Macaca mulatta: one gene and its partners. Each later gene encodes a partner of the first gene's protein in a complex. Links are inferred from orthologs where the notes say so. Each region holds a gene or a part of one and is shown in the gene's direction. Other genes may lie near its edges.

Region 1 (3,500 bases):
TTCTGACAGCTTGAGCCTTCACTCACACCCTATGGACCCCTCCTACTGTTCATCTACAAGTGCGTTAAGATTTCGGAATGGAAAGGAGTGGGGTCATGTTCAAGTTGCCATCTGCCCATGATACGGATCTATATTCTCAGCCGTTTTTTTTTTTTTGAGACGGAGTTTCGCTCTTGCTGCCCAGGCTGGAGTGCAATGGCACGATCTTGGCTCACTGCAACCTCTACCTCCCGGGTTCAAGCGATTCTTCTGCCTCAGCCTCCTGAGTAGCTGGGATTACAGGTGCCCGCCACCACACCTGGCTAATTCTTGTATTTTTAGTAGAGACAAGGTTTCACCATGTTGGCCAGGCTGGTCTCGAACTCCTAACCTCAGGTGATCCACCCGCCTCGGCCTCCCAAAGTGCTAGGATTATAGGCGTGAGCCACCACGCCCGGCTGTCAGCCTGTTTATAATGTAGGCTGGTTCACTTGGAAGGACCCAAAATGGCTTAGCAGCTTTTCTTTCCCTACTATTGGGTCTCTATATGAGCAACCAAGATTAGCCAAGTTCTTACCTAAGCAGAGGTAGTAAGAATTCTTTTCTTTTTTGAGTTTAGACACTATCTTGCACTCGTAATTGTATGTTGGGAACCGAATTGACCGCCTTAGACAACTACTTTTGTTTCCTTTGGCAGGAAGGCAGCAACAACTCATCTCCAGTGGATTTTGTAAATGCCAAGAGGACAGACTTCCCTTCAGAACATTTCAGTCATTCCTCAAAGTGGCTGGAAGCCTGTCAGCATGAATCAGATGAGCAGCCTCTAGATCCAGTTCCCCAAACTAGCTCTACTCCTAAAACGTCTGAGGAAGCAGTAGACCCACTGGACAACTATGTGGTTAAAACCATCGTCCTTATACCATCTCCACTGGGGCAGCAGCAAGACATGACATTTGAGGCCCATTTAGATACCATGGCAGAGACAAACAGCATATCTTTAAATGAACCTTTGAGAACAGGAGATCTGGTGAGAGAGGAGGTGGCACCCTGCATGGAAGACAGGTTTTCAGAAGTTGTTGCTGCTGTATCTGAGAAAGTTATCTTTCAGGAATCTCCGTCCCATCTCTTAGAGTCTCCACCAAATCCCTCTTCTGAACAACTAAATTGCTCCAAGGAAAGCCTGAGGGACAGTAGGACTGAGGCTGTGCCTGAGGACTTAGTAGTACCTTCTGAAAGTAACGCCTTCTTGCCTTCCTCTTTTCTCTGGCTTTCCCCTTCAACTGCCTTGGCAGCAGATTTCTCTGTCAATCATGTGGACCCAGAGGAGGAAATTGTAGAGCATGGAGCTATGGAGGAAAGAGAAATGAGCTTTCCTACACACCCTAAGGAGTCTGAATCAGAAGATCAAGCACTTGTCTCAAATGTGGAAGATATTCTGTCCACATGCCTGACACCAAATCTAGTAGAAATGGAATCCCAAGCAGCTCCAGGCCCAGCAGTAGAAGATGTTGGTAGGATTCTTGGCTCTGATACAGAGTCTTGGATGTCCCCACTGGCCTGGCTGGAAAAAGGTGTAAATACCTCCGTCATGCTGGAAAATCTCCGCCAAAGCTTATCCATTCCCTCGATGCTTCGGGATGCTGCAATTGGCACTACCCCTTTCTCTACTTGCTCGGTGGGGACTTGGTTTACTCCCTCAGCACCACAGGAAAAGAGTACAAACACATCCCAGGCAGGCCTGGTTGGCACCAAGGACAGTACTTCTGAGACAGAGCGGCTCCTGTGTGGGTAAGTGCCCCTATGTTCTTGCGCCTCGTGAGTTCCATTATCCTGGACCTTCCCCTCCCATCCCTTCCCCTCCCTTTCTTTTTGTCATGTTCTTCTGTTTCTGCTGCAGCCGGCCTCCAGATCTGACTGCCTTGTCTCGACATGACTTGGAAGATAACCTGCTGAGCTCTCTTGTCATTCTGGAGGTTCTCTCCCGCCAGCTTCGGGACTGGAAGAGCCAGCTGGCTGTCCCTCACCCAGAAACCCAGGACAGTAGCACACAGACTGACACATCTCACAGTGGGGTAAGAAGATTCCTTTCAAAGCTTGAAGGATCCCAGTGGGCTCTCTTCCTTGGAATTTAAGCTGAGAAGCTGCCAGAGGGCAAAGGGGACTCCTATCACAAGCTTATACTTAGAACATTTGTAAAAGCTGAGAATCTGGGCAGGCACGGTGGCTGATGCCTATAATCCCACTGCTTTGGGAGGCCAAGGTGGGAGGACTGCTTGAGGCCAGGCATTTGAAACCAGCTTGGGCAACATAGCAAGATCCCATCCCTACAAAATATTTTTTAAAAATCAGCTGGATATGGTTTTGCATGCCTCACTACTCAGGAGGCTGAGGCAGGAGGATCATTTGAGCCCAGGAAGTTAAGGCTGCAGTGAGCTATGATCATGCCACTGCCCTTCAGCCTGGGCAAGACAGTGAGACCCTGTCTCTTAAACAAAAAAGCTGAGGATCTGAAAAATCCCCTTAAAGCTATGGGTAGTCACTATACTCCTGGGGTACATCAAAACTTTCCAAAGTAGTGCAAGCAAGGAAAGTTTTAAAGGAATTGGTTTTTAGAACATCATCTTCCACATGTATTCTTTTTCTTCATTTTTTGCATTGGTAGACTATATTTAATATTTTAAGGAAAATTGTGAATAAGCCTAAAACATTTTTTAAAATAATTTTTATTTTTTGTGGTTACAGAGTAGGTAAATATATTCATGGGGTCCATGAGATGTTTTGATACAGGCATGTGATGGGCAATAATCACATCATGGAAAATGCGGTATCTGTATCTGTCCCTTCAAGCATTTATCCTTTGTGTTACAAGCAATCCAATTATACTCTTAGTTGTTTTTTTTGTTTTTTTTTTTTTTTTTGAGACGGAGTCTCACTCTGTCACCCAGGCTGGAGTGCAATGGTGTGGTCTCGGCTCACTGCAGCCTCCTCCTCCTGGGTTCAAGCGATTCTCCTGCCTCAGCCTCCTGAGTAGCTGGGAATACAGGGGCATGCCACCACACCCAGCTAATTTTTGTATTTTTAGTAGAGACAGGTTTTCACTGTGTTGGCCAGGCTGGTCTCGATTTCCTGACCTTGTGATCCACCTGCCTCAGCCTCCCAAAGTGCTGGGATTACAGGCATGAGCAACTGCGCCCAGCCTGTTTTTTTTTTTTTTTTTGAGACAGAGTTTTGCCGTTGTTGCCCAGGCTGGAGTGCAGTGGTGCGATCTCGGCTCACTGCAACCTCCACCTACCAGGTTCAAGTGATTCTCCTGCCTCAGCCTCCTGAGTAGCTGGGAGTACAGGCATGTGCCACCACACCCAGCTAATTTTGTATTTTTAGTAGAGATGGGGTTTCTCCATGTTGGTCAGGCTGGTCTCGAACTCCTGACCTCAAATTATCCACCCGCCTCTGCCTCCCAAAATGCTGGGATTACAGGCATGAGCCACCACGCCTGGCCTATTTTAGTTATTTTTAAATAT
Region 2 (3,963 bases), on another chromosome or scaffold:
CGTCTCAAAAAAAAAAAAAAAAAAAAGAACAAAGGGGTGTAAATGGGAACTGTGGCAAACTGAAAGCATGTAGGCACAGAGTTAAGTAGCTAGAGCTGATTTTTTTCAGGAAAGGCCACAAATCCAAATTTTTATGACCTCCTCTTTTAAATGCTGTAAATGTTTTACAATGGCCGGGCATGGCTGCTTATGCCTGTAATCCCAGCACTTTGGGAGGCCGAGGTGGGCAGATCACTTGAGGTCAGGAGTTCAAGACCCGCCTGGCCAACATGGTGAAACCTCTTCTCTACTAAAATTACAAAAATTAGCCGGGCATGGTGGTGCACGCTTGTAATTCCAGCTACTTGAGAGGCTGAGGCGGGAGGACTGCTTGAACGCAGGAAGCAGAGGTTGCAGTGTCAGAGCAAGACTCCGACACACACACACGGTGGTGCACGCTTGTAATTCCAGCTACTTGAGAGGCTGAGGCGGGAGGACTGCTTGAACGCAGGAAGCAGAGGTTGCAGTGTCAGAGCAAGACTCCGACACACACACACACACACACACACACACACACACACGTGGGAGGCCAAACAAAACACACACACACACACACACACACGTGGGAGGCCAAACAAAACCCTGCAAGACACATTTGGCTATGACCTGCCAGTTTGCTAGGCATTCTTCCAACCTTCCGTCCCTCTGACCAAGAAACTGAGTGTCCACTATTTTAGGCCCTGGGAAATTCAGTAGCGAGCAGGCCAGACAGCTTCCTTGCATCATGGAGGACTCTGGTACTGTGCTTCTCCAACTTCAGGATGTGTAGGAATCACCTGAGCAGTCTTGTTGAGAGGCGGACACTGACTCGGGAGGTCTGGAGTAGGGCCTGAATGTTTGCCTTTGCGGTTCTAACAAGCTCTCAGGTGATGGCGATGCTGCTGTTCCATGGCCCCTTCTTTAAGCAGCGTTGCTTTGTAATCCGGAGGAGCTCAGAAGCGGCAGTTATTTGAAGGAGCAGACTAGCCATGAAGGTATGTTTGGCAAGCACACTTTTACTTAGATTTTAGTTCAGTTCGGGTGGCTTGGCTGAGAGCTGACGGCATCGGGAGGCGGATGCTAAGGCTTTCTTAAACGACCTGCTGGCATGCCAGTTCCCTACTCTTAGATTGCTTATATTCTAGGTGGGGTGGAGGTGGAGGAAGATTTAAGGAAAAGCTTCCTGGAGGAGGCGCAAGCGAACTGCAGGAGCTTTCCCGGACGCCCGAGAAAGGGAGAAACCCCGAAGGAATTCCTCCCCTCTCGGGGCTGGGTCTCCGCATCCACGCCGGATTTGGTTTCCCAGGCTATCCCACGTGTTCGGGCGTCCCTGTCAATCAAGTTTTTCCCCGGCTGGGTCCGGGTTTAAAGGCAGCTGCTGCGCAGGGCGCTCCCATGGTGCCGCGCGGCGGGCGGGTTTGGATTTTAAATCCCCGCGGCCAATCAGTGGCGCGCAGGCTTTTGTAACGTTCCCAGCGCCGCGTTTGAATTCGGGGAGGAGCTGAGCGGTGCGGAGCGTCTGCTCGGATCCAGGTCAGCAGAGCAGCTCCAGGAGCATGAGTGCGGCGGTGACTGCAGGGAAGCTGGCACGGGCACCGGCCGACCCTGGGAAAGCCGGGGTCCCCGGAGTTGCAGCTCCTGGAGCTCCGGCGGCGGCTCCACCGGCGAAAGAGATCCCGGAGGTCCTAGTGGACCCACGCAGCCGGCGGCGCTATGTGCGGGGCCGCTTTTTGGGCAAGGGTGGCTTTGCCAAGTGCTTCGAGATCTCGGACGCGGACACCAAGGAGGTGTTCGCGGGCAAGATTGTGCCTAAGTCTCTGCTGCTTAAGCCGCACCAGAGGGAGAAGATGTCCATGGAAATATCCATTCACCGCAGCCTCGCCCACCAGCACGTCGTAGGATTCCACGGCTTTTTCGAGGACAACGACTTCGTGTTCGTGGTGTTGGAGCTCTGCCGCCGGAGGGTGAGTGTCGCTGCTGGTTAACTGGAACTGCCTGCGGGGCAGTTGGAGCGCCCAGACCTGGAGCTGCTGGAAAGAGTGCCCAGGAAGGGAGTACCTGGGACTTGGAGCTGCTAGAGAAGGGTGCTGGGAGCCTCCCTCTTAGGTATGGAAAGTGCCTTTGGTAAGGGCTTCTTGGCTCTTGGAGCTGCTGGAGGACGGGGTTCCGGTGAAGTGGAGTCTGAGTCATGTTGCTGATAGGGAGGTCAGCTTCTGGACGCGAGGTACTTGGGGGGAGGGGTGCTGGTAATGGACGCTAGGGCCCTGGAGTGGCCAGGGAGGAGTCCCGGGTTAGTGATGCCGGGCACTGGGAGCTTCCGGAGTGTAGCTGGGTCAGTGAGGGGGTAGTTGGAGCTAGACTTCGGGCCTTCCGAGGGAGATAAGAGTCAGGAAAGGGATCTGCTGCTGGGGACTTCCGGAGTGGGGCTGAGAGAGGACCCCCAGGTAAGGGAGAAAGCTAGTAGGAGAAGGGGTGCTGTGAATGGTTGTGGACAGTGTTAAGGCAGGGTCCAGATGCCAGTTGTCCTGGAAAAGGAATGGGGTGGGGGCATAGGGAAGGAGAGAAACCCACCAAGACCCCTCTTTCATCCTTTGGGAGTCCAGAGTCCAGTCCTGTGCTTCCTTTGCCTGGTAACCCTCTCCCTTCCCCACCGGCCTCAATACCACCTCCCCATCCCTCCTGCCCTCTCCTTCCCATCCACAGTCTCTCCTGGAGCTGCACAAGAGGAGGAAAGCCCTGACTGAGCCTGAGGCCCGATACTACCTAAGGCAAATTGTGCTTGGCTGTCAGTACCTGCACCGAAACCGAGTTATTCACCGAGACCTCAAGCTGGGCAACCTTTTCCTGAATGAAGATCTGGAGGTGAAAATAGGTGAGTTGCTGAGCCTGCAGGGGTGCTTGACATCACTCCAAGAGGCTGGAATTTGGAGGAGGCTGGGAGAAAGGAAGGAGACCAGGAGGAAGGAAGAGGATGGTGGGAAGTTTGGGCTGTTGATTGCCTCTAGAATTCTCTCTTTAGTCCAGAAATTTCAAACAAAGAACCCACAAGTCAGTATCTTGCCTACAGATGCATTATTTTTTGTGCCCCAATACAGCATTTTTCTTTTTTTACAAAGAATTTGAATTTGTTTTTATTTTTTAAATTGGAAGGTTTGACATAAAAATTTTGATTTAGAGCTCCTTTTAAACAGTCATGAAAGCTCCAGTAATACGAGGACAGCATTTTCTTAGGGCAGTCCTTTGCTGGGCTGGAAAGCAGCTGTCCCCTTCAGACTTGTTTGCCACAGTCTCTACTCCTCCCTATTACTTCTTCACAGACTTGCCAAGTCTTGGAGGTTAACTTGCTTGATCCTTGAAGGCACTGGAGTTTTGCTATCCCTGCCAGTTCCCGTTTCGAAGTATAGCCCCTTTCTAAGGGGAGGGGTGAGAAGGGTCACTGGAGGCACCTCCCTGGTGTCAGCATGGCGGGAAGATTCCTGGGCAAGCCTTGCTGCGTACAAGGAGCAGAAGCTTGTGGGATCAAATGGCCCTGGTTCTTGATGGTCAAACCTTAACTAGCCTTCTGCATTGACAGATGGCAGAGGCTGGCATCTAAGTACCCGCTCTTCCTCCCTCTGTCCCAGGGGATTTTGGACTGGCAACCAAAGTCGAATATGACGGGGAGAGGAAGAAGACCCTGTGCGGGACTCCTAATTACATAGCTCCTGAGGTGCTGAGCAAGAAAGGGCACAGTTTCGAGGTGGATGTGTGGTCTATTGGGTGTATCATGTAAGTTGGGAGTTATCTCTGGATCTACCTGGTCTCAGCAGGGGCAACTTTGGGACATCCTACCTGGCTGACCTTTTCTGTGGACCTTTCGGCCTGCTTTACAGCAAACCTACTGCAGGGGACAGGTTACCCCCAAACAAAGCCTAACTGCCATATCTTTCCCTGTCACTGGTGTAT
Region 3 (3,930 bases), on another chromosome or scaffold:
AGTGACTTTCCATTACTTTTAGATAAAATCTAATCTCTATACCTTAGCCTGTAAAATTTGTCTTTTGACTTCTTATTTCTCCAGTTTTATCTGTACCACTCTCTTCCTATCTTTCTGTGCCTAGGGAAGAACCCATTTCTGCCTTGGGACTTTGCATTTTCCCCTTTCCCCAATGATTAACTCCCTCTCCTCCTTCCTTAATCGAACATCATCTCAGAGAGGTCTTCCCTGAGCCCCCAATATAATCTAAGTTTCCCTGCTTTTCTATCTTATAGGATTTTGTACTTTCTCTTCATTGTGTGTGAGTGTGTGTGTGTGTGTGTGTGTGTGTTTTGGTTTGGTTTTTGAGATCATGCTCTGTCACCCAGGGTGGAGTGCAGTGGTACAATCTCAGCTCACTGCAACCTCTGCCCCCCGGGGGTCACACAATCCCCCTACCTCAGCCTCCAGGGTAGCTGGGACTACAGGAGCATGCCACGACGCCCAGCTAGTTTTTGTATTTTTTGTAGAGATGGGGTTTCACTATGTTGCCCAGGCTGTTCTTGAACTCCTGGACTCAAGCAATCCACCCGCCTCCACCTCCCAAAGTGCTGAAATTACAGCTGTGAGCCACTGCGGCCAGCCTTCTTCACAATTTCACCACAATCCGTAAATATATATTTATTCAGGTGATTATTTGTTCACTGTCTGTTTCCTAAGTCGTAAACTCCAGGAGGGCAGAGCCAAGGTCAATCTTGATATTTGCTCTCCCTCAGTCCCTCCCACCCACTGAGAACACTGTTGGGTAATCAGGAAGTGCTCAATAAATGCTGGATGAAATGAATGAACTAGTGCATTTAATGATGCAAACTACCCTGTTTATTAGGAGTAGCTTTGAATCGCTACTTAAAATCTGGGTAAGTACTATTAAAATTAGGACCTCAGGTAGGTGCCTCAGGTATCTCAGCCCATAGGTCCTTTTCTTCAAGCTTCACCTGCCACTCTCCTCCTGTAATGTGTAGTTTTCATCCAAATAACCTGTGCTCCTGGCAATATCCCTAACAATCCCAAACTAAATAAAGAGGATTGTGACACGGACCCTTAATGTGGCCACGTTTGCGTCTCCATCCCGGAATATGACGCTGGTAGCTCATTAGCTCCATTCAAGCCTACAAATTGCATCACCCTCCTCCTCCGCCCAGACCTGGGGGCTCCAACACCTTTCGCTAGGTCTGCCTCTGGCCTCCGAGCGAACCTTCCGTACAGCATGGCGGCTCCCGAACCCCCGCCAGGGAACAGAATGTTCCGTACAACATGGCTTTCTACGGAGTGCGATTCCCACCCACTTCCGCCCAGCTACCGGAAGTTTCCATTTGAAACCGAGGCGGCCAACTTGGCAGGCGGCGCGACAGTTGCTTCAGGGCATCTTTTGAAAGAGAGCGACAAGGACTGCGGGCAGGACCGGCGGGCTCCTGGGTTCGGCTCTCCCGGGGCGAGGGACTGGGCTGGATGGGAGGAAGGACGGAAAGAGCTGGGAAAGGAGGATTTTCTCTTTTCCAACCCCGAGCCGAGGCCTGTCGGGTCGCGCTATCCCCAAGCCCACCACTCTCGGGCCCAGTAGTCCAGCGCTGGGTAACATTCATCCTGTACCTTCCAGAGTTCAGCCGTGCCGCCTCGTTACGATGACCAGTGTGGTTAAGACAGTGTATAGCCTGCAGCCCGCCTCTGCGCTGAGCGGCGGCCAGCCCGCAGGTGAGTGCCCACGCCGCGCCCGGGGCACTGCGGCCCGGCCGGGGATGGTCCCGGGAGTGTGGAGATCCAATGGGTGGCGTGGGCACTGGGAGGGTGTCCCGCCGGCCCTGAAAACCTGCGAGCGCCCTATAACCAGGGTGTGTAGGTTTATGATGGGAGTTAGGGGAAGGGCCATGTGGTAGGATTTTAGACCTGCTCTGCATTTTTCTGCCCGCGTATGTACTGTATTCATCAGTTAGATTTAAGTTGTTGGTTATTGTACAATGTTATTCCCATTAAGCTAGGAATCCCCTTCTAACCGGTTATCCGTCTTATTTCCAGACTTGGGTCATCTTGAGGGATTGGGTTTGTTTTCAGGGAGGAAAGAGGAGAATCATTTGAGAAGTGGAATGCTTAGGGTTCTTTGTTCACCTTTACATCTGCGCCGTGTTTCTCGAGATAATTATTGAGAATTACCACATTCTCAATACACGTTTGTTGAGTGAAGTGGGAGAGAGGGGTTAGACCTAGGCAAAGTATTTGAGAAACTTGGGCGAAGAGACAGACATGATTAAAAATAGAGTTTTTAATTGCTTTGCCATCTGCTTTGTGTTGCTTTGCTTGTGGTTCAAAGTCATCTCATGGGGTTTGCAGTCGGGAAACTGCCTAATCTAGAGATTATAGTACAGAATAAGCTTCAGACATCAGAAAACTGTTGCGGGAGATTGTGGAGTAGCTATTTATGATCTCTTCCCAGATGATTCCACACAGCTGGTACATAAACCTTGGCAGGATTGAGCTCTGAAGTAAATAGGCTTTTCTTCAAAGGCTTAATGGGTTGTTTGTTGTCTTGTGTAGCCACAGAACACCTGAATGGTAATCCTGGCACCAGCGGGGACTAGGAGTTGCTGGAAGAACTGGAGCCAGGTCTCAGCTGCTTGCTGTGTCTTTCCCTTAGATGCAGTGCCCTCAGTCAGTGGGCAGTGACTAGCTCTCTCAGCCAAGCTGCGAGTGTTCATCTCTTGGGTTTACATCTCTGTCCCAGCTTTATGATCATATGTAACTGGAACAGTTTCAAATTTTTAGGCTGCCTCCCAGGTTTTTTGTTTTGATTTTGAGCATGGGCTGGATAAGTAATTTATGCACATGTAAAAAAAAAAGTTGGAAAACCATATACAATGATAAACAAGTTTCCTTCCCTTCCTTGACACCAGCCATCCAGTTCCCCTCCCAGTGTCTCCCATTTTTAGGAGACAGCTTTGTGAAATCCTACTAAGTTTTTCCTACATTGCAATCCTTAGGTTTTAGCAAATACGAATTATTGGAACCAATTCTAGTCAATGAAGAGTGTTAATTTTGATCAATCGACTGTTAATTCCATTTTACATGGAGTAGATTTGTTGTTTATAACTTGCTAATACTTGAGAGAGGAGATGATATTTCTCCAAGGTTACTTTTTACTTCAGACAGACACCTCAAAAAGAACCCTTTTAATACCTCATTTGTACCGCATTTCTTCAATTTGATTTGATTGTAATGGCTCTTAAGTTAGGTCAAGCTTAAAGGGGCCATTTTACAGTGAACAAAGTGAGAATGAGTCCAGAAAAGCCTGCGTGTGAGGGTGGGGGTGCTTTTAACTCCAGATAAGTTACTTGAATTTGCTGTAGAACATGAATGATGGACTGTGTGGTTGGGGAGCTGGCACAAGGATGAAGGAAAATTCTCACCTTTGGGGAAGAAGAGTGTTATGGCAGGGCCATTTCTCTGGTTATCTAGCAAGAAGATCAGATTAGAATGCCTAATAGCGAAACTCTAAACTTAACGAAGGGTAAACGAAAGAGCTGGTGGTAGAGGCAGTCAGCATGGAAGAGGAAGGGACCAGACAGGTGGTTTAGAGATGGTCTGTGAAACAACCTATGCAACTGTGAAGTGTTTGATTTATTCAACAAGCAGTTATTGAACCCCTGTTCATATGCCAAATATTCTTCTAGGTGATGGGGACACAAAGATGTCTTAGAGTGGTTAGGAAGATATTCTGGGAAAAAGAACGAAGTAACAATTTAAAAAAACTCAGAGCAGCTCAGTCATGCCTTAGGAGAGTGTGCAGCGTGCTTGGAGTTGCTTAACGAGATGGTACAAGGATTCAGCCGTGTTTTACTTCCACCCTGCTCTCTGCTGGTGTCCATCTCCATGTTCACTTTTACAGCCTCCACCTTTCAG

What was found. Proteins that work in one complex are often made in the same cells at the same time.
Region 2: SPAG5 (region 1) and PLK1 share a complex: the UniProt entries of both Homo sapiens proteins name them as parts of the astrin (SPAG5)-kinastrin (SKAP) complex. The link is inferred for Macaca mulatta from reciprocal best matches to the Homo sapiens genes SPAG5 and PLK1.
Region 3: SPAG5 (region 1) and KNSTRN share a complex: the UniProt entries of both Homo sapiens proteins name them as parts of the astrin (SPAG5)-kinastrin (SKAP) complex. The link is inferred for Macaca mulatta from reciprocal best matches to the Homo sapiens genes SPAG5 and KNSTRN.

Annotation. Positions count from the first base shown.
Region 1 is NC_133421.1:37,292,977-37,296,476, reverse strand, and holds part of SPAG5 (sperm-associated antigen 5), read left to right. Parts: intron 1-676; coding exon 677-1,767; intron 1,768-1,876; coding exon 1,877-2,051; intron 2,052-3,500. UniProt on the Homo sapiens protein: Essential component of the mitotic spindle required for normal chromosome segregation and progression into anaphase. Required for chromosome alignment, normal timing of sister chromatid segregation, and maintenance of spindle pole architecture.
Region 2 is NC_133425.1:23,221,122-23,225,084, forward strand, and holds the start of PLK1 (serine/threonine-protein kinase PLK1), read left to right. Parts: upstream 1-1,163; 5' UTR 1,164-1,574; coding exon 1,575-1,982; intron 1,983-2,721; coding exon 2,722-2,890; intron 2,891-3,641; coding exon 3,642-3,786; intron 3,787-3,963. UniProt on the Homo sapiens protein: Serine/threonine-protein kinase that performs several important functions throughout M phase of the cell cycle, including the regulation of centrosome maturation and spindle assembly, the removal of cohesins from chromosome arms, the inactivation of anaphase-promoting complex/cyclosome (APC/C) inhibitors, and the regulation of mitotic exit and cytokinesis.
Region 3 is NC_133412.1:17,693,586-17,697,515, forward strand, and holds the start of KNSTRN (small kinetochore-associated protein), read left to right. Parts: upstream 1-1,130; 5' UTR 1,131-1,246; coding exon 1,247-1,455; intron 1,456-1,636; coding exon 1,637-1,731; intron 1,732-3,930. UniProt on the Homo sapiens protein: Essential component of the mitotic spindle required for faithful chromosome segregation and progression into anaphase.